4 linked regions of the Lonchura striata genome follow. The protein of the gene in region 1 interacts with the protein of each later gene in a pairwise test. Links are inferred from orthologs where the notes say so. Each region holds a gene or a part of one and is shown in the gene's direction. Other genes may lie near its edges.

Region 1 (6,950 bases):
CAGCCAGCATCTCATCCCTCTGCCTGATCTGAGGAACTCAGGAGCCTTTTCCTTGGCACAACAGGACTTTGTGAGCAAATCTGCTGCTGAGCTCCAGCATGAGGGAGTGGAAATGGCATTGGCAGTACAGAGATGTGCAGGAGATGGCTGAAAACCTGGCTGGATCGTTCTCACCTGTTAAAGCCTGCCTCCTTTCCCTCTTGAGGGTCCTGGGGAGGGGAGGCAGAGTGGGGGATTGCTCACAAACAGGGTGACACAAAAATCCTGTGAGCCTTCTGAAAGAGCTGTACTGGATTGGGGGAGCATACAGGGTTGGTCTGAATGCAGAAAAGTGCAGACTTGGGAAAACAGATTTCCTCTTCAATAATCAGCCCTGAGAGCCTGTGGGGAAGCTCATCTGCCTGCTGGGGCTTTGGCAGGTCTGTCAGACCACGGGGCCTTAACAAAGGTCTTAACACTGCCACTGAGCCCTTGTGTGAAGATGAGGCATCGCTCTTATCCAGCAGAGTAAATTCTGGGGCAGATGAGTACTCCACCTCCCTCGCCATGGGAGAGAGCTGGAGCTCGTCTCAGGCTCTGAAATTCCAGGCCTCAACATGAGGTGGTGCACAGCATCCACTGCTATCCCTGCTCTGCCGCTCCCTCCGCAGCAGGAGGGAGCGAGAGCAGAATGCCTTTGGGGAAGAACTGGGGATAAAGGAGGTGCTAATGAGAGCTGCAGAAATGAAATCATCAAAATGTAGGAAAGAATCGAGAAGAAATTCTTCTGGGGTAATTCATCCATCAAGCCCTGCTCGTCTCCACACTGGCTGCCTGCTCTTCAGAAGGAGTGGGAAGAGGGATGCAGAACTTCAAAGGATTTTTTTCCTCTGCGCTTTCCACTAGAAGCACAAATTTTCAAGGGGGAACCCTGCTTTATAACCTAGTGTTATTTAGTCAATCGGCATCCCAGGCACACGGCACAACTCGAGTGTTTCCATTCCTGTCTGTGCAATGTGGATGTGAGTGCAGAGCAGCCTTGGGCAGGAAAATCCCAATTCCCCGACTCCAAGCAACATGCTCACAGCCGTGTGATGCAGAAACCGAGATGGTCCCTTGTTCAAAATGCACAGATCCTAGAAGGGCTGCTGAGCACTCGCCACTCCGACACTGACACGCCTTTGTGGGCAGATGGAGATGATCTCCCCACCCTGGACTGCTCAGCACATCAGCGTGAGGAACTCTACCCTCCTGCTGCCCTGCAGCTCATTAAAGTGCCATTTGAACCCTACCCCTTCTGTGTTTTGAGTACATGCACAGACATGACACCACAGTAATTGTAAATATTTGCCCAAGGTCACCTCTGCCACTCTGCCGATTAATGCAGGATCCCAGCTAATCCAGTGCCCATCACGCCTCGAGGGAGGCTGGCATCTGCAGTGATCCATGAGGAAAACTGAGGGACTTAAACATACTGTGTCTCTGAGCTATGGTCTGGTGGGTGCCAGCCCACTCTGGGCCTTGGCATTGGGTCTGTTCAGCAGCTGGAGCCACAGCTGTGCACATCCACCACAGCCCCTCAGCTTGGGAGTGCCAGCAACAGCCAGATCCTGCAGAGCAGGGGAGGCACAGAGGCTGATCTCCACTGTGGCATCCCAGCAGCTGCTCCAGCCCCACGAGCTGGCTCCCAGGGTGCAGAGGAGACACTGAGACTGATCTCTGCTGTGCCACCCCTGCAGCTGCTCCTGGCCCTTGTGCTCCCTGGCCCTGCTCATTCTGCGGTGAGGCTGGCACTGGAGCTAGAGGGACATGGGCACACTGTGGAGCTGGCCACCACACACCTGGGCTTTGTGTCCCTGCTGTGGGAGGAAGGCTGAGGCTCTTGGAGATCAGAGCTGAGCTGCCACTGGTATCTGCACTCCAGCACTGCAGTGAGTGCTGGGCAGTCAGGTTGTCACCCAGAGACCCTTGGTGGTGGGACGCTGTTGTGACCTCCAGCCATCTGCTCGTTTTCACTGGTCTCAGTTCCCTGCAGCCTAATGTGCCATGTCTGGGGGCTGCACATCTCTGCTGTTGCTCAGCCACAGCCCCAGCTCTGCTCAGAGCCTGAACCCACCCATGGCTACCTGCTGTGGGCTACTGGTGGCTCTAAATTTGGAAAAGTGGCTTTAATTTCCTGCCTGTCCAAGGGTCAGAGGATGGGGCCCTGGTCAGGCTGTTCATTCACCTCACATTGCTCTGCACAGGTACAGAGACAAAGGCTGGTCCCAGGACAGCTCTAGAGTCTGTGATTTGGCCACAGCTGCCTGTGCTGTGCTTTCGCTGCTAGAAAATCAGAGATGGGGTTTATAATGCAAACAACATGGTGCATATTAACCCCCCTGTTGTCAGACCCTGCTGGAAGCAAGCATTTGTGATCCCTCTGCACAGTGAACCAGGTGAGAACCAGGCCAGCCATGGTGGTGGTGGCAGCCTTGGCTGCTCAGTGGCCTTGTATCTGTCCTGTCTCACTGAGAGCCACCGCAGGACAGCTGCTGTGTGCTCAGTGTCCACCTGGACCAACAACCACCATTCCTCTGTGTGTGTGTGCAGGGATGAAGGCGCTCAGGGCACGCAGGAGGCTCCTGCTGCTCCCGGCTCACAGCACCTCCTCCAGCACCTGCCAGCAGCTTGGCCTCACCTTCAGACACACCAGGAGCTTGGGTGTATTTTCCCTCATGTTTATTTTTAAAAGACGGCTCATTTTACACTCAGGGCAGCCTTCAAATATAAATAACCTGTGCCACATGTCCCCATATTACCAAGGAATAAATTACAGTTCTGGGTTCCCCCTCCCATGTTTCCCTTTGATGTTATTGCTGTGGATACATATATATATATATATATATGCACTTTGCACGCAACAATCCAACCTCACCCAGAGCTGGTTTGCTGTATGGAGAACGCTGGGTGGGACGTCCCTTTGTGATGCTGAATCAGGTGGTGAAAAGCCCATTTAACTCATTTTTCACTTTGAAAAAAATAAATGTGTTGAAAGACCCAAGGCTGTCAAGGTACCAAATCTCACCATAAACACACGGACATACGGTGCCATCCATCGCATGGAACACGCAGTTCCCCACATCTCCCAGGGACACACGCTGCCCCGAAGCCCGCAGGAGCACAGAGTGTCCCCGATGCTAGGGTGGGAGTGTCCCCCACCCTACAGGAACATTCACTGTCCCCCGCCTGAGGGAGCACACACACAGTGCCCGATGCCATGGAGCACACAGTGTCCCCAGCCCACGGAACACGCACTGCCCCGACCACACAGGGGCACGCACTGTCCCCACGGGGCATTCACTGTCCCCATGGGGCACACATTGAGGGGCACGCAGTGTCCCCATGGGGCAGATGCTGTCCCCACGGGTCACACACTGTCCCCACGGGCAGTCCCCACGGGGCACACGCTGTCCCCACGGGCAGTCCCTACAGGGCACTTGCTGTCCCCACGGGGCACTCGCTGTCCCCACGGGCAGTCCCCACGGGGCACACGCTGTCCCCAGGGGCAGTCCCTACAGGGCACGCACTGTCCCCACGGGGCACTCGTTTTCCCCATGGGCAGTCCCCATGGGGCATACGCTGTCCCCACGGGGCACATGTTGTCCCCACGGGGCACACACTGTCCCCAGGGGCAGTCCCCACGGGGCACGCAGTGTCCCCACGGGGCACACGCTGTCCCCACGGGCAGTCCCTACAGGGCACTTGCTGTCCCCACGGGGCACTCGCTGTCCCCACGGGCAGTCCCCCCGGGGCACACGCTATCCCCACGGGTCACACGCTGTCCCACGGCAGTGCCCCCGCCCCGCGCGCTCCCGCCGGGCCCGTGCGCGCTCCCGGCGCCGCGGCCTCACCTGCGGCGGGGCGGGGCCGGGGGGCGGGGCCGCGCGCTCGCACCGGCCCCGCCCCGCCCGCCCCGCGCGCGCCGCCGCCGCCGCCGTGTCCCCGCGCCTCCAAGATGCCCGGGCAGCGGCAGGGAGGCTCCCGCGGGCCCCCGGTACGTACCGGCGGCACCGGGGCGGGCGGGCGCGCCGGGGCGGGCCGGGGGGGCTCCCGCGGGCCGCCGGTAGGTACCGGCATCGGGGCGGGAGGCGGCACCGAGTCGGGGAGGGAATGCCGCGATCCACTTGGTAGGTACCGGGGCGGGAGGAAGCACCGAGCCGGTCGTCGGGGCCGCGGCGCGGCCCTTCCCGCGGGTTTGCAGCGAGTGCCTGGGCGGCGGACTGCCGCCCTTCCCGGGAGCCGCCGCGGGCTCCCCCCGCTCCCGGTCGCCTCTCCCCGTCGCCGAGTGCGTCTGCCAGCCCGCTCCGGCACCTTCCGCCGCTCGGCGGGGAGACCGGGTGGCCTGTCCCCGCCCGGCGCTTCCCGCGGCCTTCCCGGTGCCCCGGTTCGCCCAGGGCCGTCCTGCTGGGGAGCGGCGGCGCGTTCCGGGCGGAGCGGATACGAACTCGCCGGCTCCCGGCTCCCCGCCCGCGGCTTTGGGGATCCCGCGCCCACCCCGTCATGCCCCCGCCTTCCCCCTCGCCACGGGTTTTTCGGTGGACAGTGTCGTATCCCTCTCGCCGCCCAGCCCCGTGCCCGCGCTCCAGCTCCGCCGGTTTGTGGTGCCGGGCTGTCGTCGCTGCCGCAGAGCCGGTGCGGGGCCGGTGCTGCCCCGATCCTCCCGGGCCCCCCCCGCTCCCCTTCCCCCAGCGCGGCTGGGATCTGCTGAACTCCAGGGCCATGGAACTTAATCGCTAGCGGGCTCCGAGACCGGCGCTTCGGAAGCCGCAGAGGAGAGACACGGCCACGTGTGGGAGGTCTGCCAGCGCTGCCCCCCGGGACACCGGGGGTCGGGAGACGTTCCCGGGGTACTGCCCGCGCTTTGGGGTGTCAGCGCTGAGCCGGCAGCCGAGTGTGTTTGCTTGCGCCGAGGATCTGTGCGGCTGCTGGAATACGCGCCCAAGTGACACCTCGTTCTCGTGCTTTATTTTTCTATTTTGCCTCAAAAAAACATCCCAGCCGCAGGTTTATTGCCCCGATGCGCGCAGCTGGCGAGGGCTAGAGCACGGCTGGAGCGCGGTGAAGGGCCGCTCTGCCCAGCGGTCTGCGGAGTTTCCGGCGAGGGCAGATGGCTCTGCTTGCTCCGTCATTCCCTCAAGTCCGGACACGCCGGCGTTAATGGCTCCTGCCCTTCCTGGCTGCCGCCCAGGTCTCCCCAGCCAGCCCGGAGGTTTCGGCTCGGCTTTTGTTGTCGGAAGGCGGCTTCAAGGAGACCGGCTCTGCCGGAGGAGCTGCCGCAGCCGGGTGGGAGCTGGCAGCGGTGCGTGGCGGAGCGCAGGGCGCTGCTGGCTCCCGGGTGGCAGGGGGGCATCATCGGGCAGTGTCGGGCAGATATGGGAGATGTCACCGACCTGCCGGGGGGGCATTGAGTGTAGGCTCGAGTTGCTCTCAGACCCTTCTGCAGTGCCCTTCCCTCCTGTACCCCGGCTGCAGCGGGCAGTGACCCTCAGTCTGTGCTGGAGGGGCTGTGCAGAGCTGCTTCCGCTCCTCCGGGTGTCAGGGGCTCTGTGCTGAGCTTGTCTCTGCTGCATTTTGCCATCAAGGAGCACACTCGAGGCTTGGCTTGTGCCCCTGAACAAGGGGTAGTAAAACTGGCCACAGTACGGAGGGAAGGAGGGAGGCTGGCCCAGGCAGCAGTGCTGGAATACCCTCGAACCGAGGGGATGTTCCCTGAGGACACTCCTGGGAAAAGACAGTAAGTGCAATAGCACTACAAGCAGGAAGGATGAATTGATGCCAAGGACAGCAGCAGCTGTCTCGGTTCAGGCAGGTGGCTGCAGAGCCCTGGATGTGCCGGCTGCTGCGATCCGAGCTGGGTCTGTGCCCTGTGCAGCCTTCCATGGCGGCTGCGAGGCCGTGCCTGTGCACAGCCCACGTCCTGCCTGCTTTGGAAGTGCTGCTTTGCAAAAGAAATGGAGCTGCAGTGGGTGATAAATCCCTGCCTTGCAAAGCGTGCACCGGGTGAGCTGTGCTGGCCTCTGAGGTGTGTGTCGGTGTGTGTGCCTGTTTGTGAGCAGAGTGGGATTGGCCCTGGGACCATGTGAGATGGATAAATGACTTACTTTTAAAGCCAAGATTTTGTTGTCTCCTGCTCCGTCCCCTCTAGGGATGGATAGGTGTTTCTAAACCCACGCTGCGACTCACCTGGGCTCTCTGTGGGTTCCTGAGCTATCAGCTGTGGCTTCTGTCGTGTGGAGGGGTGCCTTGAGCCTTTTAGCTCTTGGGTCAACCCCTGGCTTTAAGGGCGTTGGAGCATCCTGAAGACTGGTCTCTGGAGAGACCAAGGCTGTCCCATCAGAGATGCTGGAACCAGAACTGTCTGGTTCACTAAAGGAAGCTGATGAGCAGTGTGATTACTTTGTTCGTCTGGAAGGAGTTCTGCTGCTGATTACAAACACCTTCTGTAACAAACCCACCTTAACCTGATCGAAACCCCTCTGAGGCTGGTGCTCCCCTCATTGCAAGGGGAGGGTGGCTGCTCCCCTGAGCTCCCTTCTGGAGAGGGACAAAGCCTTGGGGAGCCTGTGTTGCTGCTTTCACTTGTTTTCAGTGTTCTTTGCCTGGAAAGCGAGTGTGTTGCAGCCAATGAGTGCCATCATCTGGTACGAACGGGCAGCCCTGGCAGCCCCTCTGACCAGGAGCATCCCCCGGCCTCAGGCTGCTGCCTCCAACGCCATCGCTGGCTGCTGTGGAGCCTGGGTCCCAAAAATGCCAGGGCAGGGAGGTCAGCTGCGGGAGAATGCTGTGTCTGTGTGGCTCTGAAAGGCTCCTTGTGCTGTGCGAGGGCGGGGGGCTCCAGTGGCGTGCAGGGAGCATCTCACCCCTCGGATCCCGGGCGCCTGCCTGTGTTCCTACGCAGCACTGGAAACACTGGGCTGCACCTTCGTGCC
Region 2 (7,388 bases), on another chromosome or scaffold:
TGCTCTTTCCCAATATATTTGTGTTGGTGTGCGGACACCCAGCACACTGGGAGGAATGACGCACTACTCTGCAAGGTCATAGGCACTGTGCTATAAATACATGCAAAACACCCCATGAGCAAGAATCTACCAAGAACCTATGATACATATTGGGGGGTTTACCTCAAAAACTACTCATCAAACATTTTCAAATGCAAACGTTTAAACTGTTTTCACTTGGTTAAACTATTACAATTGAAATATCTTTAAAACATTTTTTAAATTATCTATTGAGGTCAAAGTGGCTTTAGGAACTTGCTTTTATTAATAAAAGCAAAAATTAGAAAGAAGAGGACTAATTTGTTGACACTGTCTTTATAATAACCCTTACAAAAAAAGTCATTTATTCTAAATGGGAAAACACATGTATTCTCTCAGGTAAAAAAAGTATATGTTATTATTCATATATAGACATATAGCCTACAATGAGAAAACTCATTATCCCAAACATAATTCAAATCAACAGGAATTTATAATTAATTCTATAGATTGTAATACAAGCAATATTATTTATTAATAATATCATTATTAATGCTATTTATTAATAGCAAATAAGAAAGCTGCACACTTAGCATTCCACCATATATCACAGGAATTTTTATCCGGGGGAAAAAACCCCAAAACATAACAAAGGCAGACTTAGAGGGATGCCATGCTGACACAGGCTGCTGCCAAGCCTGCAGCCTACACCAGCCATATAATGCACTCTACCAACCTGCTCCAGACACAAAGCTGCAAAACCACCAGGAGCACCAGTCACTCATGCCTAAATATTTGCTGACGGCCCCAACAGGCAAGAGGGCACTAACTCAAAGGAAGAAATAGCAATCAGACCACAGGGAAAAATCTAATATTTGATTTCATCACTGATTTATGCTGGAAGCAAATCTGAAAGATAAATAAAGTACATTTTGCAGTTCTCCATATTGAGGCAGCTGGGGTGGGCAGGAATAAAAAGAAATATATGAGTACAGTCTCAGAGTTCTAGTCTAGGATGGACCATTCCAGAAGAGAGAGAATGAGGGGAGCCCCAGTTCACAGGAGAACTTCTGGGTTTGAAGTTGCCCCTCCTGCCCTAGGCTCTATATCATTTAATAACTTTAGACAGCATAATTGTACATATTGGTGTGGACTTCAGATTCCAAAACAGGGAGATAACGTAACACAAGTGTTGATGCTATTCTGAATGGGATTGCACATTTTTATGTTACTAACCTTTGGAAGCACTGCTGAAAGTTCTGTGTGGTGATAATATTTAATTTAATAGTTTGCTCTATCTGCCATCTTCACTGCAGGGATTTGAACAATATTATTCTTGGTCATTAATCAACCGAAAACCATTTCATGCCTGACAATAGTCCTTAGCACCCAAAACAGAACACTTGCACTGGATTATTTCTCCAACAAATGTGGATCCAAAGATTACAATGAAAATTTTCACTTATGAGTACAGACACAAGAACTAAGATTTGCCACTCTTAAATTCATGAAATACAGAATACTCCTCTCAGATCTATGCTTCTGAAAAGGAAAATTTACAAAAGCAGCTTTTAAAAATTTTCTTAAAATAATATTCTATTTTATTTTATTTTGCTTAACTTGCTGGAAAACTTTTACTGCACCTTGTGTGTATACAATTGGTTTCACAGCTATTAAACCTTTCAAACCTATGGTTTATTAATCAAAGCAGCAAGGATCACGGCATTTGAACTTGCATTTGCTGTATGAAGATGGACATTTTCTGCCAGAACTTTTTGCCCTAGTTATAAAAAAAAAAAACTAGTCACAAAGTTTCTAAACCACACTAATAGTTGAACATGCCACTAACTTCAAATGCATAAAAACTTAAAAGGGAGTCATCCAGTCCTGTATTCTGACCTCACCCCAAAATTTAGGCGAGAGATCACCATCTGTTTGTTTTTGGAATAGATTCTGATATCTTGAACCTGACAAAAACAAGTCTTCCCTTAGCAGTCTGTTGCAGTAACTCATCATTCTCACTGGTAACAGACTCACTTCTCATATGAACAGTTAACAGGGAAAATGCCAGATTAAAGTTTTCAACTCAGTATTCAAGTTTGGGGTGGTTGTTTGTTTCACTGGCTTTGGTTTTTAAAGAAAAGCTGTCAAGCTTTCCACTTAGACCACATGAAACCATCAGCTTTGAGAAAAACTGCACACACAGCCTAAACTGGGTAAAATAAGTTACACTGTATTAATCACACTGCACAGTACTGAGAAGTTAGACAAAATAAACAGAGACTCTTTCAGCTCCAATAACTCAAACCCAGAATGTGTTTCTATATATATGATAACATATAATGGGTTTTATATTATACATATTTATGCATATAATGTATAAATTATTATACCTATAGTACTTTCATATATTGTTATTATGTTTCCCTGGATTCCCCTATATTCAACCTGTTAAAGTTCAGGCAGAAAAAGCACAGTAGTGACAATCAGGCAGCTATCTCCATGCACAGCTCTCTATTCATTTGTGATTAAAAGAAATAGCTGAATTTCCTTTTCCTATTCTTCAGTTAAAAGTAATATCTTTAGCCAGTGCTGTTGGACCCGTTGATACAAGAACTCCAAGACCTGAGCAAAAACCAGAGGTGAGCAAGACAATCGCAATGCAAGTAACTATAATTAGACTGTAAGAGTGGAAGAGTACAAAGTAACATTTATTTTTGTTAGCATTAGGTCAGTAAATGTATTCCTCTATTGGCTAGGCTGCATATGAGCTATGAAAAAAAAATAATTTGGATCATATTGATGCCAGTGGAGAAACTATTTACCAATAAACAACAAGAAGGGCATTCTGATGGGCTCTGCCTTAACAACAAGCTCATATGGCTTTTAAAAGCTCCAAAACTTCCCATTTATATTTTCAATTGGCAACACTAATATCAGTACCCAAATCCTTCCTGCTTTTCGTTTAAAGTTAACCGGGTAATACCACAGCACTTATACAGACTGAAACTAGAGTGTTAAAGTTGTCATTTTAGTGCTTCCTTGGGGATGCCCCAACTTTCCAGCCATTCATTGCCAAGTCCTCTCTGGTGGATTCCACTGAAAGACTTCGTGCTTTTTCACAGAATAGTTAGGGTTGGAAGGGACCTCTGGAGATCATCCAGTCCAACCTCACTGCCAAGGCAGGGTCACCTAGAGCAGGTGACACAGGAACGCATCCAAGTGTTTTTCAAGTGTCTTCAGTAAGATATTCCACCCCCTCCCCCCGCCGCCTTTCAACAACGCTTTTCCAAATGTTTCTCTGGGGAGAGAGCCGTAGGGGTGGGGAGCACTTAGCAAGTATTAATTGCAGGAATAAACCTGACAGGGTGGATCAGCCGCCCCCCTCGTCGCACAGGTGTAACCCGAAGGCGCCCTGCGCGGGACGGGGCCGGGAGAGCCCCCGCCCGGTCCCAAAGCCGAAGGGGTGGTCAGCCGCGCTCACCTGCACCCCGCCGAGGATCGCCTCGCTCTTCTCCCTCACGTCGGGGAAGGGGCACCTCTTGGACAGCATGAGCAGGCGGGCCAGCGCCTCGCCCAGCCCGTCGCGGGCGGCCGCCCCGGAGGCGATGCTCTCTGCGCGGCGGAGCACGGCTTGCCCGATGGTGTCCAGGGCGGCACCGCGGGCGGCGGCGTCCCGGCTGCACAGCCCGTCCCAGCGCACCTCGCCCTCCCGCTCCTCCATGGGGCCGCTCGGCCGCTGCTCCCCCGCCGCAGCCGCCGCCTCCTCCCGCTCAGCAGCCCCGGCGCGGCCGCCCCATGGCGGGCTCCCGGCAGCCGCCAGCCCGCCCACACAGACGACGACGAGCGCGGCCGCGGCGAGCGCAGAGCCCGCTGCCCGCGCCGCATGGGGGGCAGCGCGGGCCGGTGCCCCCGACAGCCGCCGCCGCCCTCCCGCGCCGGGGCTGCCGAGCCAGCGGAGCCGCTGGGGCTTCGCCTTTCCCGACCGGGAGAGGGGCGGCCACCACCCCACGGCGCCGGCGGCTCCTCCTCCCTGCCCCGGGCATGGAGGGAAGGGGCGGCCCCAGCCCTGCCTCTCTCGGGGCGGCCCCTCAGCCCGCCCCGCCGGGGCCGCCACCGACCCCCGGCAGTCCCCTCGCTCGGGGTTGGGGGAGAGAGCCCCGCCCAGCACGGGGAACCCGCATGACGGACACGCCGCTCAGCCAATCGCCTTTCAGCGTCGCGGCCGGGGGGCCCAATTGCGGCGGGGAGCGGCCGTTCCAGGGGGCTGCTGGGATATGTAGTCCGGCCAAAGGGCCGTCCTGTGGCCCTCGCGCGGGAAGACCACGTGTCCCGGCAGGCAGCGCGGCGCGCGGCCGGGATCCCGCCGGAGGTGGCTCGCTCGCTGGGATGCACGCACGGTATTCCCGCCGTCCTGTTTGGTGCGGGCCTGGGGGGTTCTGCGGTCTATCGCAGCAGGCTATGGAGCGCCGATGGCTGGCGGCAGCCGGGGGTGAAGCAGTCCTGGGATGTGTCCTAAGCGAGCGCGTCAGCGGGAGCGGAAGGACCGTCGGTGCTAGCGAAACGCATCCCGTCACACTTGGGATGGAGGAGAGATGGGAGGGGCGGGGAAATCCCCGTAATATTCACATTGAGCCACAGTTCAGCGGTGTTTTTATCCAGATTAATCCCAGGGGATTTTTTTAAATCCCAGTTGTGCAGGATCTGATGAACCTGGAGAAGAGAAGGCTCGGGGGGAATCTTGGCCGCGCATATATCCGGACATTTATTTGTGCCTAGAAGGAAGGTGCAGTGAGGATGGAGCCAGGATGTTCTCGGTGGTGCTCAGTGCCGGTATCAGAGGCGAAGGACTCAAACTGAAACACAGGAGCTTCCCTCTGAACATCAGGAAGCACGTTTTTTACTGTGGGGGTGACCAAGCGCTGGCACGGGTTGCCCAGGGAGGTTGTGGACTTGCTATCCTTGGGGATGCTCAAAAGCTGCCTGGACACGGGGCAACCTGGGTAGCTGTCTCCGGGTGGTCCTGCTTGAGGAGGGGGGGGTTTGGACCAGAGGATCTCCAGAAGTCCCTGCCAAACTCAGCCGTTCTGTGATTAAGTGTAATTTGCCACTAAAGAGGCTGGTATTGCTGCTTGCCTTGCTTTTCCTGCAGAGGCAAAAAAAAAAGAAAAAAGCTGCTGTTGATAAATTTATATTTTCAGCTAAGTCAGTTCCTTGATCCAGTTCACCTCTTGGCAGTGAAGAGGAGAAGAAAACAAGTGCAGAACTGTTTGCAGCTGTCACATTGAAGCACTAAAATTTTGAGTGTACAGAAAGGCAAAAGAATACTTGGGAGTAAATTAGAAACAGGACATTGGGCCTACATAGGGGCTTGCATAATTATTTTTAACTTCTCATGTACACATTTCCCACTCTAAAATTCGGATGTCAAAACTGAAGTTAAATGCAGAATGAGATTCTCTTATGCCACAGAAAGACACAGAAACCACTTCTGAGTCTAGGAACAGAGCCTGGGCAGGTTCACCAACACCATTCATCTTCAGCTTTCTTCTTTGTACAGAATCTGATTTCTTTATCCGCCATCACTTTTTCTTCTGGAACAGTTTCTTTAAAACGTGCATTTACCTGTACCTTTGAAGGAAGACTGGTCTTTTTTTTTCCCATAAAATCCTTTCTGCAAGGAGGCTGCATTGCCATTGTTCAGGAGGGTGGACAGGCCTGGACTGCTTCATGCAGCTGCTTCCTCCAGGCCTTTGGCACCCTCGTGAACAATGCATCTGCTGAAATCAGCACTACCTGTAATAAATATGAGTCTTGACTTCTCTAAGCACTTGAGGCCTCCACCCACCATAACTGATGGGTTCAAAGAAAATCGTTCTTCCAGTGCTTTTTATGTTGTTGAAGGGATTTTTTTTGTTTGTTTCTTCTGTTTTTTACATTAGCTACCAGTTCAGCTTCCCATCCCATTCTGTTGTCACTCATTATGGTCTCCCATTTTCCCATGAATGGGCATGTCACATCTGTTTGCTTTATTTCTATCTATATTTTGATCTCCAGAAGTTGGCTAGATCTTATTTTTCCCATCATGAGTTGTTGGGTGCCTCTGACAATGACAACATACATCCAAGATCAGAAGAGTGAACCAGATTCAGAGCTGGAGCTTTGGTGTTTTAGACTTTGGTACAGCTGTATTCACACACTGAATGCCAAGATTGATTGAAAGTCACAGCACTGCCTTTTATCTTTTAGAAGCTGTTTTTTCCACTGGCTCCAAATGAACTCTGGCTACAGGAAACAGATTGTGAAACTGGCTCCAAGGCCTAAACTTCAGATTTCAGCCCTTTGTTTTATAGATTTTAATGTAGACTTAGGGAATAGCAATGAGGATGGCTTTATTTTTTTTCCAAACCAAATCTCTGCAGTTTTCTGATACCAGGTCAGGCTTCTTTATGCACTGCAAGACATTGTGGAAATCAAGGTCAGAGGCTACCAGTGGAATTAATCAGAGCCCAAAGTTAGGGCAATGTGTTTGTTTGATTTGTGTGTTCACTGACTGCAGTTAATATGCTTGTTTTTGATCCCTAAAGAACGGATAAGAGAGAGGCAGAATTATGAAGGAAACAATCTGGCAACTCATCCAGAATTGCAGCAGTTGAGTTTTCAAAATGATAAGCTGAAGAAAAACAAATTTGTGGCTGTTTTAAATCTCAGTATTTCCTTCCTTCATGATTTATCAACTTCCTTTTTTTTTTTTTTTAAACTAGATAAGGACTTCTATAGCCTTCTTTAGACTTCTATAGCAGATGACATCCAACAGCAGAATTATTTTTGAAAATACAATGTCTAGTAATAGTATTCATGTTCTTTCTAAGATACAAGATCTAAAATACATTATATTTAGTTTTAAAAGTTCATTCCAGTTTCTGTATGTCACAAAAGAGCACTTTTCTCAAGCATGCATTTAGTCAAATACTGGAGAACTAATAATAACACAGTAAAACTTGTGCAGTCTAGAAGGAACTGCTTTTTAAATTAAATTCCTTCAACTGTTTTCCTTTACACTTGATTTTCTTAAGGCTTACTTCATTCCAATTGCTAAATACCTAAATAATTGGATGAGTCTTCAAAAAGTTCACCCACCCTTTTTAGATCTGTGTTTTGGCATGTTGCCACAATAAATGGTACTCCAGATTTAAATGCATTTTCCTTCACAACTACCCTCTGAGAAAACAAAGTTCTGTGACTCCTGTTTTGCAAAGAGACACCAAAAGGCCGGAGGCTGCTCCTCTACTGCCTTTGAACCCAAGCACCAAGTTTGGTGTCAAGTCCAAGCCATTTTGTCTAGGAGATGTGGCCTTTTTTTGCTTCTG
Region 3 (7,225 bases), on another chromosome or scaffold:
CACGTGAAATTGCTTATTCTTTTTTGATAATAAGTTTGTTTCAAAATGACCCAATATTTAATTTGGGAATGTTTTTTGCTTCAAAAAATAACTCAAGTTTCATGTTGTTGATGACATTAAAAAAATTTACATAACATAAAAGTTTCTTAACAGAAAGAACCAGGATAATAAAGGGCTGTGCAAATCCTTACAGTAGTAAAAATATCTTGAATCTAAGCTGAGAATTTATTTTTGTCTTTGCAGCCAATATACATGAGCTTCCCCTACTTCATTCACAATCCTGTGAACAGTGGGTGTTTTTTTGGTCCTTATTTGCTTATGCCTCTTTCTCAGAAGCTGAGAAGTTCACTATCTCAAAGGTCTGCTAAAAGCCTGATCCTCTCTAACCATCAGGAAACACCTACCATCTCGTGGTGAGAGGTGATACTACAGCCCTCGCATGTCTCCCTTGAAAATGCAGCAGAGCTGAGGGCAGGTGAGCTCATCTGTAACTGCAGAGACTCACCAGGGATATCCAGGAGCAACTGCAAGGAAAATGATGAAGGCGTGAAGGTAGAGTTCTAGGGATCTTGGGTTTGGATAACAGTCCCCAAGTTTGGAGAACATCATACAGTGTTTCCTGGCTTTTATCTCCTAGGTAGGCAGGGATTGAATCACTATGTGCAGATCGTGGCATAACTGCCTGGGGGTGGGGGTATGCTGGGGTGTGCAGACAGGGCAAGCACAGGCACAGGTTCACTCTCCTGTCTACTGCAACACAAATGAAGGAGTGATCCTGACTACTTCAAGAAACCTAGAGTGTCATGTCACTGATTTAAGAAAGGAGGGGTGAGTATGTTTTAAGAGTTATATGGCCTAGAATTGGTTTTCAGAAGGTCTAATGACTTCTTGGTACCTTTTTTGTCCTTTGGCCTGCATATCTATTCTGTACCTTGTTTGCTCTTATGCTTCTCTTAAACATTTTGCTTTAAAAAGTAGGCATTGCAACAAAAAATAGAATACTTGTTAGTTCCTGAAGCAGCTGTATAATTTTAAGCTTTTGGATCTGTAAGCTCATTTTAAAAACCATGACTTTTTGTTTCCTGTGATTTGCAACTTTAAACTGAAAACTGGAAGATCTGAATGATCACTGAAGCTAAATAGTGACGTATCAAGGAAAAGTTATGGAAGGCCACTGATAAACTCGTGGCTAAGTAAAAGCTGAGCCAACTGGGCTGTCAGCTGAAATTTTAATGTTGGTGTACCAAGAGGACTCATGTCCTCCTTGAGTCTAAAGCTTTTCAAAGAAACTAGGGGAATAATTTCCATGAGAAATGCTGTAATGCACAAACAGCTCCACTAAAACTACAGAAGACACAACAATGTCAGTCTTTTGAAATCATAGGACATCCTTAAGCATAAAATGTCTGCTGAACAGTCCAATGTGCTAGAGGCTTTACACCTGTGGCCTGTAGTACTGTGTAATCTAGGGGAAAATAGCTATTCAGGTACAACAGCACTATAGAAAAATTAGCCAAGAGTAACTTCCATGGGAAAATGTCTTAATGGAGACTAGTGCTTATTTGTTTCAAGTCTAGGGAATTCCATTATTGATGGAAATTGTATAATTGGAACTGTGCATAAAATACCAGGCCAAATAAGTATGACTATGTATGTTTTCACCTTGACTTTCAGCCATGGCTTGCTACCCTGAGAGAGACAGGTTACAGGCTTGGCATCAAAGACAGGAGAGGCAGGTAAAATTTCTTAGGGGTAACAGGGTCCTCTATGAAATACTACATTATGGCCAAGAATAGCTGCTATATTTACTTCAGCTGAAATTGGCTGTATCTGTCTTGACAAAGCATTTCTGTTTTTCCAGCAAGCAAAATTCTGCTGGAACATGGGAAGTCTGCTGATAGGATTGTACATAGTCCCAGCAATGGCTGAGTGCACATCAAATTTAGAAGAAAAAGCCTGAATTAGGACTGGGACTGTGGAAATAAGGGAAGACTTTGTTATTTGCTGTCAGGACTGCCATTAGTAAATGGTGCTAAAAATAGCAGTCACAAGAAATCAGCAGGATCAGAAGACAGTCTATGAACAAAACAACAGCACTTTAGCACAAAGATGCTGAAGCTGTAAGCCAACTGACTCATTGTCAATGCTACATTAGGTTTGGGTGCTGAAATAGGGGCTTCCCTGCAAATTTCATAAACTGCCTATGACTCAGCCTAAAATCACATAATCAAACAGCTGTTCTGCTTCAGTAAGGAACTGGTGCATAATACAAATCACTGTATTTCCTCTGGATTGTTTCTTCCCAAAAGTAGAAGAGCCCTGAGCAAGAAGTAGTAAAGCAGTAAAACTTTATTTTCTGTGGTTCTAGAAACACTTCTGCTTATTGCTATTCCTTTCAGCATCATATTTTTTTATTCCAACCTTTCAGCATATTTTCTGTCTTTCCTGTTTGACCTGAACTTTCAAACCTGCTTTGAGGTTGCAGTCTCATACTGACAATTGAGTGTATTTCATGTATTTATGTAAGTCTGGTTTTATTAAAGTGCTCTACTCTTTCAACTAGAGTGCCTGGAAAAATAGATTCAAAGAAAAACTAAGTGGTAGTTTATTTGTTCTCTTTTTAAGTAGCGCTGTAGAATTATGTAGAACAGTTGAATAGCAGGCTTTTTTCTGGCAGCTAACTATACACTGTAGTTGTCAGTCCTCTCTCACAACCACTCATGATTCTAAGGTACCTTTCCCCAGGCAATCTGCTTTGCTGCTTTTTTATCCAAGCACCTCATTTCTACCGTTCTCCTCAAAAGAAGTGTTATCATACCTTTCTGTGAACAAATCCTTCCAGTTTTATATAGGTAAGCTGAGGTACCCATAAAAGCAGCAATCCTACAACTATCAGAAGAATTCTAGCAAGTAGATAGATGATTTGAGATGGGGCTTCTGTGTCGGTTAATTGTGGAATAAAAGACTGGATATTATCTAGCTAAGATACTCTAGTGGTCTTTGTGACAAGTGGCTGAATGCCATTCTAAATTCTCTATAACCATATACACTGCTTTTTGCAAGGCAAAGAAATACTGAATGCCTTTATTCGAACAGGAGATGGTGATTTAAGCTTATGAGCCTTTTATATTGCACTCTTTATTTTTGTGCTCATTTTTTCCCCATCCAGTGTATTAACAGAGGTTGTAGTGCTTCTCTGAGCAGACTGTTTGTTGTTACACATAATGAGCTATAAAACTGCAAGGGGCTTTGTTGGCCTTCCTGCTTACCTTACCAATCCTACCAAAATCACTCTTAGTGGGGCTTGCAAGGGGACAGGAAGATAGACCACAGCCTTGAGGCAGACGGAAGCTGGCTTGGGACAGAAATGACCACAGTCATTGTGGGTCACTGGAGAGCCTGGAGAGTTGAGCACAGAGAAACCTAATGAGGTTCAACAAGGGCCCGTGCAGGGTCCTGCACCTGTGGAGGAATAATCCCAAGTACCAGCACAGGCTGAGGGCAGATCTACTGGAGAGCAGCTTGGCGGAGAAGGACCTGGGAGTGTTGGTGGGTGAAAGCTGACCATGAGCCGGCAGCGCCCTTGCAGCAAGAGGGCCAAAGGTGTCCTGGGGTGCATTGGAAGAGTGTGGCCAGCAGGCTGAGGAAGGTCACCCTGCCCCTCTGCTCCACCCTACAGACGCCACATCTGGAGTGCTGTGTCCAGTTCTGGGCCCTGCAATACAAGACAGACAAGGAGCTCCTGGAGAGGGTCCAGTGGAGGCCACAAAGATGATTTGGTGTCTGGAGTATCTCTTAGGAGGTGAGGCTGTGAGAGCTGGGCCTGCTTAGTCTAGAGAAGGCTGAGAGGGGATCTCATTAATGCATAGAAATATCCCAAAGGTGAGTTCAAGAGGATGGTGCTAAACTCTTGATGCCCAGTGAGAGGGTAAGGCGCAATGGCCATAAACTAAACCCCAGGAATGTCAGGGAGAACTTATGCAGAGGGTGGCAGAGCACTGGGCACAGGCCTTCCGCGGAAGCACACTACACGCAGGAAGGCGCAGCCGCAGGGGACGGAGCGCAGCGCACCTCACGCGGTGTCAGCCCGCCCGCCACAGCGCCCCCTCAGCCCGGCCCCGCGGGGGGCGGCGCCTGCGCGCGCCGGGCCGGCAGGCCGCGCGGGGCACGCGCCCCAGCCCCCGCGCGGGCGGCGCCGCGGTGACGTCACCGCGGTGAGGGCGGGGCCGGGCGCGGCGGCGATGGCGGCGGCGGGGCCGGGCGGGCGCGTCCCGCGGGGGAGCGGGCGCTGCTGAGCGCCGCGGGGAGTCCTGCGGTAAGACACCGTGCGTGTCGGGCAGAGGGACTGCCTCGGTTCGCCGTAAAGCTGAAGTGGCCGAGGTTGCTTCGTCCTGTGTCCTTCCAGTGTTCGGGAGTCTCGGGTTTATAGCGGAGGACGGGGGACACCGCCAGTGTTTTGTACTTTAAGTGGTTGAAGATGTCCAGAAAGCGTCTCGGTAATTCTCTGTGCAGAATCCTTGTTCGCACTGGTGCCAGATCTCGCTTTAATTGTAAGGACTGGCCGGAGTTACCCTCATGAAAGTAACTCATGAGCGACACATTTTCTCTGTATCACAGTGGGAAGCCTAATAACCGCTTATTATTATTTTTGGTCTCTGTGGCTTCCTGTTTGTCTGTGGGAGATATTTCCAGCCCCTGGGAATGTGTGAGATAGCAGGGCACCAGGGAACCTTAACTTGCCGTGTTGCAGGTTTGGTGTAACACGTACCCTGGTGGTGGTGGCAGGAGGATACAGGAGAGCTTTGCAGTTGCACGTCCTTTGGACAAACAGAGCCTGAATTGCAGCTTTCCTTCATTATTGCGACCTTGCCAGTAAAACAGTAATAGGCAGATAAGAAAACTCCTAACTCATCACTTTGTCATAGTGCCACCTGCTCTTGGCTCTGCCAAGATCCTGAGCCAGGATCCTCTCCTAGCAGGATCTAGATTCCTGCTGCAGGCACAGGAAGTTCAGATAGCAGGATACAGCTGAGCTGTAAGTTTCGTTTTTGTGGGGTCTGCTGTTGGACTGTACAACCGTAAAGGCAAAATTATTGTTTGATTTGGTCTTTATTTTCTCCTTTTAAAAATGAAATCGATAAAACATGCCTGCACAGGCAAAAGTGAATTTATGGTAATATCCCTTGAGAAGATCAAAGGGCAAAATAGTTGTGCAGTGTTGAGACCTTATGTTCTCTGAGTTGTATTCTAGATACTGGTCTTAAGTGGGTGAGTTAATACCCATCTGGTCCAAATCTTCAACAAGACTAAGTCAGATGTTGCAAAATGGACCACTCTATTAATCATTGCAGAAGATTAACCCCTGTGGAACAGGCCACAGACCTTGGAGTTTTGATTTTGTGTTGTTTTGGAGTTTTTTCTGTTTTGGTTTTATTTTTTTTTTTCTTCTCCGTTAACATAGCTTTCTGTTCTCACACAATAATGTGGCTAGAGCCTTCACCTTTGACTTTTTCCCTGTCTGCTTGTTATCACCACATAGTTTATATGCTACCTTATTTCTCCAGTGTATGCCAGAAATAATACTTGGTAGTTTCAATTTGGCCCTGAATTTTGGACACTTTGTTAAAGGATTTGCTAAAGAAGTTGCAATGTAGCTGAGTATACTCACAAACTTTATTTCTTATTAATGTTGTGCATTTTGTTATAGTTTTATAAATTTCTGTTATTACTTGTGGAGTTCTGAGATTGTATGTGTTAGAGGAAGAAATGTAAAACACCCTCTGTTTCTCTTCTTTGCCTAATATTTCTTAGCTTTATGTAAGATAAAGGTGGAAAAGGCAAGGTCACTTGCTAAGGCTTGTCTGCCATGGTAAATCTGGGGATAGCACACTCCTGTTGACATTGTTTATCAGTGGGGCATCTCAGTGCTTTAAGAAAGCCTTTTAATTTCATATTTCAAAACTCTAGCAGAGGTACTGGAAAGATGTTTGCATACTTTCTTCTGCTATTTGTAGCTGTACCTTGGAGGGTTTTAATTCATGTTGTGTTGTTTTGTTTCTCTTTAATTAAAATTTTTGGGGTTTTTTTTGGTTTTTTTGTTTTTTTTCCCCGAAGGGGTCACTCCTTTGGTGTTGCCTGATCAGTGAGTTCTCCAGCAGTGGCCACACAGAACTGACAGACCTGAGCTGGAGGTGGGAAGATGACATCCTTAGGTGCACCACAGGAGGAAATGTGTAAACTGACCTTGGATACACCACAGAAAGAAATGCTTGAATTGCCCTTGGATACATCACAGAAGACAATCAGTAACCCGGTAACTCCTCTGTCATGTCGACAGTGTCTCCCTTGGGAGATGGGACTTTGCTGTTTTATATCAACAGTACTGTTTTGCACAGTGAGGGATGCTACTGAGAGCTCTGCATCACTCAGGTGTTTGAGGGAGAATGTCACAGGTGACATGAAGAGCTGATGGTGTTTAGAAATTGTGCTGTAAACAAATGGACAGGACTTCCAAAAGAGGACAGACGTTCTGTCAGCCTTGGAGGATAATCCTGTTTCATGTACAGCTTACACAGATGTCTGGCATTTTTGCAGAATATGCTGGAAAGTGAAAGTATGATTTGTTTTCACTCCTGATTCTCTGTAAATACGGGTGGGGTTTGGCAGCTCTCATGAAATGTTTATTTTGTTGTGCCTGTAACTTCAGTCTGAACAACTAAACTTGGAATCTTTTTTCATAGTTCATATCTTAATTCATAATAAATCCTGTTTTCTACGGAAAACTTGAACTGACATGATTCAGCAATTGCAGAGACCAGATTTGACAGGATTTTGTTTGCCTGGCTCAGAGTCTGGAAACTTTCTCTGAAAAGTTCTAGCATTCTCATGGTCTGTGATAGCAGCCTGACTTGGGCTTACCATAAAGGGGTGATCTGAAGCTGTGTTTTCTGTTGTGCCTTAAAAAAGGTCATTCATTTGAACCTGCAGGAAATAGTATTTTTACCATTCTGTGCTAGATCCCTTTAAAAATACCAAAATCAGTAAAGTATATATGTGGAACGTGCAGTGGCACAGACCTGCACAGGACTTCCTTATCTATTGCAGCTTTGCACTGTCACACTCTTGGGTCCTCAGTGAATCTGACTGTTTATTCCCAGTGTATGGTCACTGCTGCAAAGTGAATAGAGTTAGGCATGAGGTTTCAACCTCCTTCAGAAGAATCCAG
Region 4 (7,298 bases), on another chromosome or scaffold:
TTAATTTCTTTTCCAGTAACTAGACTAAAAAGTAACTTGTATTTTATTATGAACTGAACTGCATTGCTTCCTGTGGCTGCTCATTTCTCATTTTCTGCTGAGTCTTCCACTGTGCTGGCTTAATGCATTAATGGGGAAAATACCTTTTGACACCGGTTATAGTCAACAAAGCTCTGCAGTGCACAGATATAGAATACACATTCCTTTTGGTACATTAGAATCCAGATTATCTGCAATTAATAGACTCATAAGAAGTTCTCCAATGGGTCAGCTGATTAAAGGCAATCCTGTTCCCTGAGAGCTCTAATGCTGGCTTTTACAGCTAACTTGTGTAGATCAGTGCTTCTTCCCTATCCTTGTGCTCATCACCAAAGGGTCATGTTCTGATTTTAGTGCTCAGTTAAAGATTTGTAAAAATGCTGCTGTGATGTGGAAGGAAAGGAGCTGGTGGAACAAATTTAGTACTCCCTGTAAGCAACTCTAGGAACCACGTCGACCAAATCTACACCACTGAAAAGAGCAATGTCTATTTTTAAAATTTGATGCTGGCACTTTCAGGTGCTTCTGACTGTGCCCCTTAAAATGAATCAATGTTTTATTATTTCTTAATTACTCAGTGTCTTTCTCTGCCCTGTCCCCCTCTTAACACCCTCAGTAATTTACCTCAGGCACATAATCCTTCATTTCCCTACCTCATACATCCCAGTCTCAGAGTGTTTGAACCCTTGCACCTTTTCAGCCAGTGTGAAACTTGACACTGAGTCATCAGATGTGAATTGGGATCAGCAAAGGCAAAGCTGTGGACATAAGTTGGTGTAAGTAATCCAACAGTTCCATTGCTGTGGGCTCAATGCTGCTTCATCCCACATCTATTTTTGCCTTTTGTTCTACATTTGCTCGCCCAGCTGCCTGTGGCTGCCTGTGCAGTAGGAATGGATGGTGACAATGGAGCAGCTTCCCTAGGGAGGGCATGCAGTGACTGTGGGCACTCCCAGCATGTCCAGCACTATCCAGCCCAGCACCCAAATTAATTTCTGTCCATAGCTGCTGTTGTTGGTAGGGCTGAGAATAGCCAGGGTCTGCCAGCACTGCAAGATGTGAGAAGCACAGAAAGGTCTGAAATGCCACAATGGTTTGGAGGAGAGGCAGACCTCATTCATTGCCTGTGCAGGCAACTCACTGTTGGAAACAAAGTCAACAAAGCCAGGCTTTCTGAGGAGAATGATACAGGTGAGCTTCTCTGCTGGATGTATAGGGAGAAAACACACTTTCAAACATGCTGCATTCACTTTTCATTAAAATAAATCTGAATTTTGTTTTTCATGCTTTTCTTTTTCCTCCCTGGAATTCCCCTCCTACTCCAAGATGATTTATGTTTTCTCTGTGGACAACACTTACACCAGAAGATTTGAGGAACTACTTTTACCATCATATACATAAATTCAAACTGGCTAATTAAGTGTCAGCTAAAAAGCACTGCTGTTATATCCAATGGAAAATTTCTGCCTAATTGCTCTGGGCATCACCTGGTCTAATTGTAATTGTCTGGGGAAGGATTGCAGAACTGCTACTCTGCAATGTTTACTTCATCCTGGCTGCAGGGAGAATTCCTTTAAGATGTGATTAATGAAACAGAGAGTGGATAAGATGGAAGAAAAACAATGCCTCTGACTTCTGATATGGCAGCGGGCAGTTACGTTCAAGCACTCGTGTGCTTTGCGACAGCACTGGCCTTATGGTTTGTCTCTTCTCATGCCCGTGCCTTGGGCAGGCATGAGACTTGCAGAAATGTTGACCTGCAACGAGTGCAAAAGGGCTGAACAGACCAAGACTGCACCAGTCTCAGTCCATGGGATTGTTTTTGTCCCTATGAAGGACTCAGTTAATATATTTCAGTAATCAGCCTGCTGTTATCCCTTGTAAGTACCCAGAGGCTAAAAAGGCTGCATCTCTCCCCAGCTTTAAAAACAGTTAAGAATATGTTTCACCCACAGATAGAGTGAGTGAAGCTCATGAGTGCTGATGGCATTCCCTGAGGAGCAACAACGTCACATCCTGTGGAGGTGTATGCAGAATGGGACCTGGAGAGTTAATTGTGCACTGGAAAACCAGAGTAGGCTCAGAAGAGACAGTACAAAGAAAAACACATATGTGCAAGTTCCCCAAGTACAAGCACTTCATGCCATGTTGGGACAACTCTTCTGTATGGCTTTAGGGAAGAGATATATTGTGTAGTTCTGGAGAGACATGTTTTCTTTGTCTGTCTTGAATTTTATGAAGAGGATATGAAAGATGATGTCTAGCAATTCCTAATCTAACAGTAACTACAACTAAACACAAAGGCTTTTCTGCCTTTGGTTTATTTCTTCTGTCTGCACTTTCTGCTGTGATATATGTTAAACATTTGGGTGAGACATTAGAGCCTGCAGTTTTGCTGCAATCACTGGCCATAAATCTCTCCAGTCCTGCAGTGGACAGGTTTTGCTTTTTTACTCAGCAGTGAAAAATTACAGACAACTTACAGAGAGCTATGCAAACCTGAGGTTCATACTGCTCCAACCACCCACTCACCTTCATGGTTTCCAGCATGTTTCAAAAAAACGAGCAACTTCAGTTGGGTATGCCAACAGAAAAGGATTTTTGCAAAGTACTGTCCATGTCACAAACCTTCCTGGATAGAGATCTAGTTACATTTTGTGCAGGAAGTATTACAAGCCCCTCTGTACAACCTACACAGAGGGATGTGGCACTTTGTGCTCTTTGGGATTATCGCTGAGCAGCAGAGGCCCTGATGAGTAAGAGACAGGTGGGGTGAAGATGCAGGACCTGGGGCCAGTTGAGCTGCTGCCAAGCACTGAAATACATGTGAAAGAAAGTCAGGGCATATTTTTGCCCAATCCTACCCTTGGTAGATCTGCATAATTTTCATGTATACTGATGAGTACCTATTGCTTCGTGAAAAGCTCTTGGCCTTTAAAACTTGAGAATGGCTCAGGAGGTCCCTGAGAACCCTCATGAAAGATACAGGAATGCAAAAAAGCCAATGGGAAAATAAGGCAAAGAGATTTCAATTGCAGTGTTAACAAGAGATGTTTTCTGCACATCAGTGTTCCCTTCAATAAAGGTACATTGTCAGTTAAAGATTTGCTTACCTGTAGCATGGAAAAAAGAATTATTCCCCTGTTTGAAGCCAAAGTTGTTCAGACTTCTAGGATAAGAACTTTTCTGTTTGATTCAGGGACCAGGAGATTGTAAATATAAATGTAAATATAAAATGTAAACATGTAAATATAAAAGAAAGCAGTAGGACCTCATTATATTTAATCCAGAGTCTGGATAACTGGCAGCTGACTACAGGGTTTGTTTATACTTACATAAAAGTTGTGGTAGCCCTAGTAAGTAGTTCTGTCACGGTTTCTTACTCTTCCTTTGCTAATGAAGAAGTATGTTGTTGCAAGTTTCAACAGGTTTGGATTTCTTGCCTTCTGGCAAAATTTCTTCTGCCAATCAGCTATGAGGCTATAAAAATTTAAGGACCAGACCCTGAGTTTGTGGCATGTACACTATATAGTGATTGTTCCTGTGCACAGTGTCAACACTGTGTGACTTTGTGCAGACTTTGTGTGTTCTGATGCATTTTTGCCAACATCCAGTTGCAGCAACACTGAATTCATAGTTGGATGTCTTTTCAAGCCCTTGGTAGTAAAATATTGAAGCAGAAGTGAGAAAGAGATGCTTATACAGATCAGAAGACTGGGTACAGTCACTTGGAGCCTGACAGAGAATAACATATTTGTAAATACTGGTGCTTTAGAAACAAAGAAACAAACAAAACCCCAACTAAGCCCCTAGAATTAATATTCCTACTTCTAAAATATTTCAAAATAACATTCAGATATTTTATTCCAGAGAAATGTTTTGTCCAGCAGGGGGTTAAGTGTGTTTTGCCGACAGAGAACAGATACATAATACATTTACAGAATTTAATGCATTAAATAAACTTAGGTGATTTTTAAATCATCATTAATTTTGATAACATTTGAATTTAAAACTCTCTGAGGCTAAATAACATCCATTATTTATTTTTGTTCCACTTTCCTGTTTTCATCACGCAAGAACCAAAAGTGTTTATTTTACTGGCAATATTGAAACAATCACATGATTTTGAGTAAGTCTTTTGAGATTGTTTGCAAGTTTTTCTCTGCTGCACGTCTGCTTTCCCCCAGCTGGGGGCTGGCTGTTGTATGGGAAGGCTGGCCACGTCACGGAAAAGCCCTGTCTCTGATCAGATGGGCTTAATATAAACCAGGTTTGCTGAGAAAGAATTAAAGAGGCAGACCCAAAGCAGGAGAGGATTTACTTCAGCAGAGCTGCTCAGTGTGTCACAGCCCACCGAGGGAGAAGGGCAGGGGGAACAAAGGACTGGACTGGCTGCGGGAGCCTGGCACAAGTAAGAGTGGATTTGGACCCAGTCTTTTCCTGGAGCTGCTGCAGACCCAGGCAGCTAAATGCAGTATGGGGTAGCAAAACCAGTTTGAACTTGGAGCACAGTGTGTGACAGGGACTCCTTTGGCTTTTTTTAATGAGGGATGACAATTTGTGAGAGGCTAAATTGTAAAATATTTGTGTTTGTGATGTTTTTGTGAGTGACAGCTTGTTGCAGGTTGTGAGTTACTCTGTTGTTTGAATGCGATCTGGATTTTCTCATCTGATCTTTTCAATGGGGATACTGAAGGGAAAAGTGCATTTCAGAATTCAACCACAGCAAATATTTAAGTTTGTTTGCGAAGAAGTCTTTGCTTAGTACGTGATTTCTTCTTCAGATGTATCTCTTGCTGACAAAGTTATTGTGACTAGGACCATGAAAACGATCTCCTTTTGCCCCAAAGTACTGCACATCACACAGAAAATATTGTGTATTCTGTAGTAAATTCAGATAGTGCTTTTTCTATATATTTTGTCCTTGGTCCTGCTGGGAATTTAGTCACAGAAGTTTTCAGACAGTTTTTTATGAAGAAGAATAGCAATTTGTACATGTTGCTTTACTGTACTTTTTACTGTTCACCATTTATTATTGAGCTTTGAAAGTAGTTGGGTGAATTTTATGGACAATTATCCTATTTACTGATATGGAGGAGAGAGTCAAGAAACATCAGATATAGGGCAAAAAAGAAAAATGTCTGAATAATGGTCACTTTGGAAACTGGAGTGCATCAAAGTAACTTTCCTAAAAATGGTAGGTATTGGCCTGTGAGAATGACATCACTCTTCCCTGCCTCCAAGCAAGGCAAAATAGAGTTTGCTGAGTAAAATGTAATTAAGAGCTATGCTTATTTTAGAAAAATGAACCTATCTAATTAATTGTGCAGAAATTAAGTAATTGATTTAATATCTATAAATTAATGAGCCTTTTATCTCAGTTCTATCTCTTGTAGAAGCTATAACTTGTACCTCCTCAGAAAAGCTGTTGGATTTCACTATGTCCTCCCTCTTACCAGCCAAAAAGTCACTGTCTGAGGCCGAATCATTCTTTGTTTACCTGGCCACAGACAAGACCCAAATCCACCCCATCACAGCAAGACTTGCTTGCATGACTTTTTGTACCAGGGTTGTCTCAAGAGTGCAGTGAATTATGACTTATTGCTTTCCCAAGAGTTTCAGCTCTTAACTGAGTCAATGAGAAAGATGCTGTACACCCAGCTGCTCCGGCAGCTGGAGGCAACTGGGACCAGTGTCTCTGTCTGTCCCCAGTGATGCCAAAAGGAGGTGAACATTGCCTGTACCACAGGCAGTCTCTCGGCAGGGCTGCAGCTGCTGTGTAGGACCGGTGTGGCGAGCACTGTCCCCTCCTTCTCCTCCTGGGACGCAGCAATGCCTCCCTCTTTCCAGGACTGGGCTGCACCCAGCACAGCCGTGAGCTAGTAAAGGCTGAACAAGATAGGATTTAGCATGTGAGGGTGGTATTATCCCTGGGAAACAGTCTCTGTCTCACTAGCTAATAAATAAAATACTGCTTTGTGCACCACCAAGTACGCTAGAGTGCAGAAAGGCTAATTTTTCTTTTCTCACATATTAGGTCCTTACAGAGGAGCATGATGTGGCCCCTTGAAGCTAGTAAGAGAGCATTTCTAAATGTTTCGTGGGTAACATTTGTGATTTCCCTATTTTTCACTAGGGGTTAAAAATGACTCTCAACAATGTTACCATGCGTCGCACACACAACAGCAGCCCGCACCAGCAGCAGCAGCGATGGAGCATCCCTGCTGATGGAAAGAATCTGCTGGTCCAGAAGGACTCCAATGAGTACAACCCACAGAAACGATACACCATCAGTCCTGATGAATATTACAGAAGGAGCTGGTCCTCGGAGTCATCCGACTCTGTCATCTCCTCCGAGTCTGGCAGCAGCTGCTACCGCGTGGTGCTGATCGGGGAGCACGGCGTGGGGAAGTCCTCGCTAGCCAACATCTTTGCAGGCGTGCACGACAGCATTGACAGCGACTGTGAGGTGCTGGGAGGTAGGTAATTATGTCCTGGGGTGTTGGTGTTTGCCTGCAGTCAGCTCTGCCTGTAGTAATTGGCACAGAAAAAGAGAGAGGCCATTTAATGGAAACCAGAAGTAACAAGTGTTTGGGTCTGATTATAAAAACTGATTGAACTCAAGCACCTCTTTTAAGAAAAGAAGAAAGCAAAATAAGATGAGTAAGATACTCTCCAACAATGACTGAAAGCCACTGAAAGAGAGCAATTCAGATTCTTATGCTGTTTCATTCCAAAATACCAGTTGGAAACTGCCTCATTCCTACCTGTGATGATGCTGCACAGGAGTCTGCTTTAGCTTTCATAGCTAGTCCAACATTGGTGTTACCACTGGCATCACAGGGCTGACTCCTGCTTTCCTTTTGAGAGAGAAAACAACTGAAGGTCCTCATGATTTACAAGAATTAAATAATTTAAAATAATATATAGAGAAAGTTACATCCAAAATATTTGCCATTAGAAGTATGTATGGACTGAATAAAATATATAAAATTTTGAGTAAAAACCTTGTTTCATGTTATTTGCACAGTATGTGCTCCTCCAGAAGATGCTTCCCCCTTCTTTCCCCCCTTGATTTGCTTATGATTGCAAAGTTTAGGATTGCAAAGTGTTTTTTAATCCCAAAGATCAGACTGTGCAGAAGGTGAAGTTGGAGCACCAAATCCTGGGTTATACTGTGTGCAAGGTGTTGATGTGGAAGGGTTGTGCTGCCAAGAAATCTGCTGTGTCTCCAAGGATGTAGTCACTGCTGCTTTCAG

The links.
Region 2: the proteins of MID2 (region 1) and CEP57L1 interact in binary tests that used the Homo sapiens proteins (3 or more experiments, as listed by UniProt). The two-hybrid records come from large-scale screens. The link is inferred for Lonchura striata from reciprocal best matches to the Homo sapiens genes MID2 and CEP57L1.
Region 3: the proteins of MID2 (region 1) and LGALS8 interact in binary tests that used the Homo sapiens proteins (3 or more experiments, as listed by UniProt). The two-hybrid records come from large-scale screens. The link is inferred for Lonchura striata from reciprocal best matches to the Homo sapiens genes MID2 and LGALS8.
Region 4: the proteins of MID2 (region 1) and GEM interact in binary tests that used the Homo sapiens proteins (3 or more experiments, as listed by UniProt). The link is inferred for Lonchura striata from reciprocal best matches to the Homo sapiens genes MID2 and GEM.

Annotation. Positions count from the first base shown.
Region 1 is NC_134616.1:15,076,474-15,083,423, forward strand, and holds the start of MID2 (putative E3 ubiquitin-protein ligase MID2), read left to right. Parts: upstream 1-3,930; 5' UTR 3,931-4,015; intron 4,016-6,950. UniProt on the Homo sapiens protein: E3 ubiquitin ligase that plays a role in microtubule stabilization. Mediates the 'Lys-48'-linked polyubiquitination of LRRK2 to drive its localization to microtubules and its proteasomal degradation in neurons.
Region 2 is NC_134605.1:69,473,745-69,481,132, reverse strand, and holds the start of CEP57L1 (centrosomal protein CEP57L1), read left to right. Parts: upstream 1-4,369; 5' UTR 4,370-4,439; intron 4,440-7,388. Other genes in the region: SESN1 (sestrin-1), read right to left, coding at 3,503-3,742. UniProt on the Homo sapiens protein: Centrosomal protein which may be required for microtubule attachment to centrosomes.
Region 3 is NC_134605.1:45,720,263-45,727,487, forward strand, and holds the start of LGALS8 (galectin-8), read left to right. Parts: upstream 1-4,224; 5' UTR 4,225-4,315; intron 4,316-4,475; exon of another isoform or gene 4,476-4,496; intron 4,497-6,114; 5' UTR 6,115-6,199; coding exon 6,200-6,313; intron 6,314-7,225.
Region 4 is NC_134603.1:24,313,826-24,321,123, forward strand, and holds the start of GEM (GTP-binding protein GEM), read left to right. Parts: upstream 1-4,289; 5' UTR 4,290-4,450; intron 4,451-6,175; 5' UTR 6,176-6,184; coding exon 6,185-6,518; intron 6,519-7,298. UniProt on the Homo sapiens protein: Could be a regulatory protein, possibly participating in receptor-mediated signal transduction at the plasma membrane. Has guanine nucleotide-binding activity but undetectable intrinsic GTPase activity.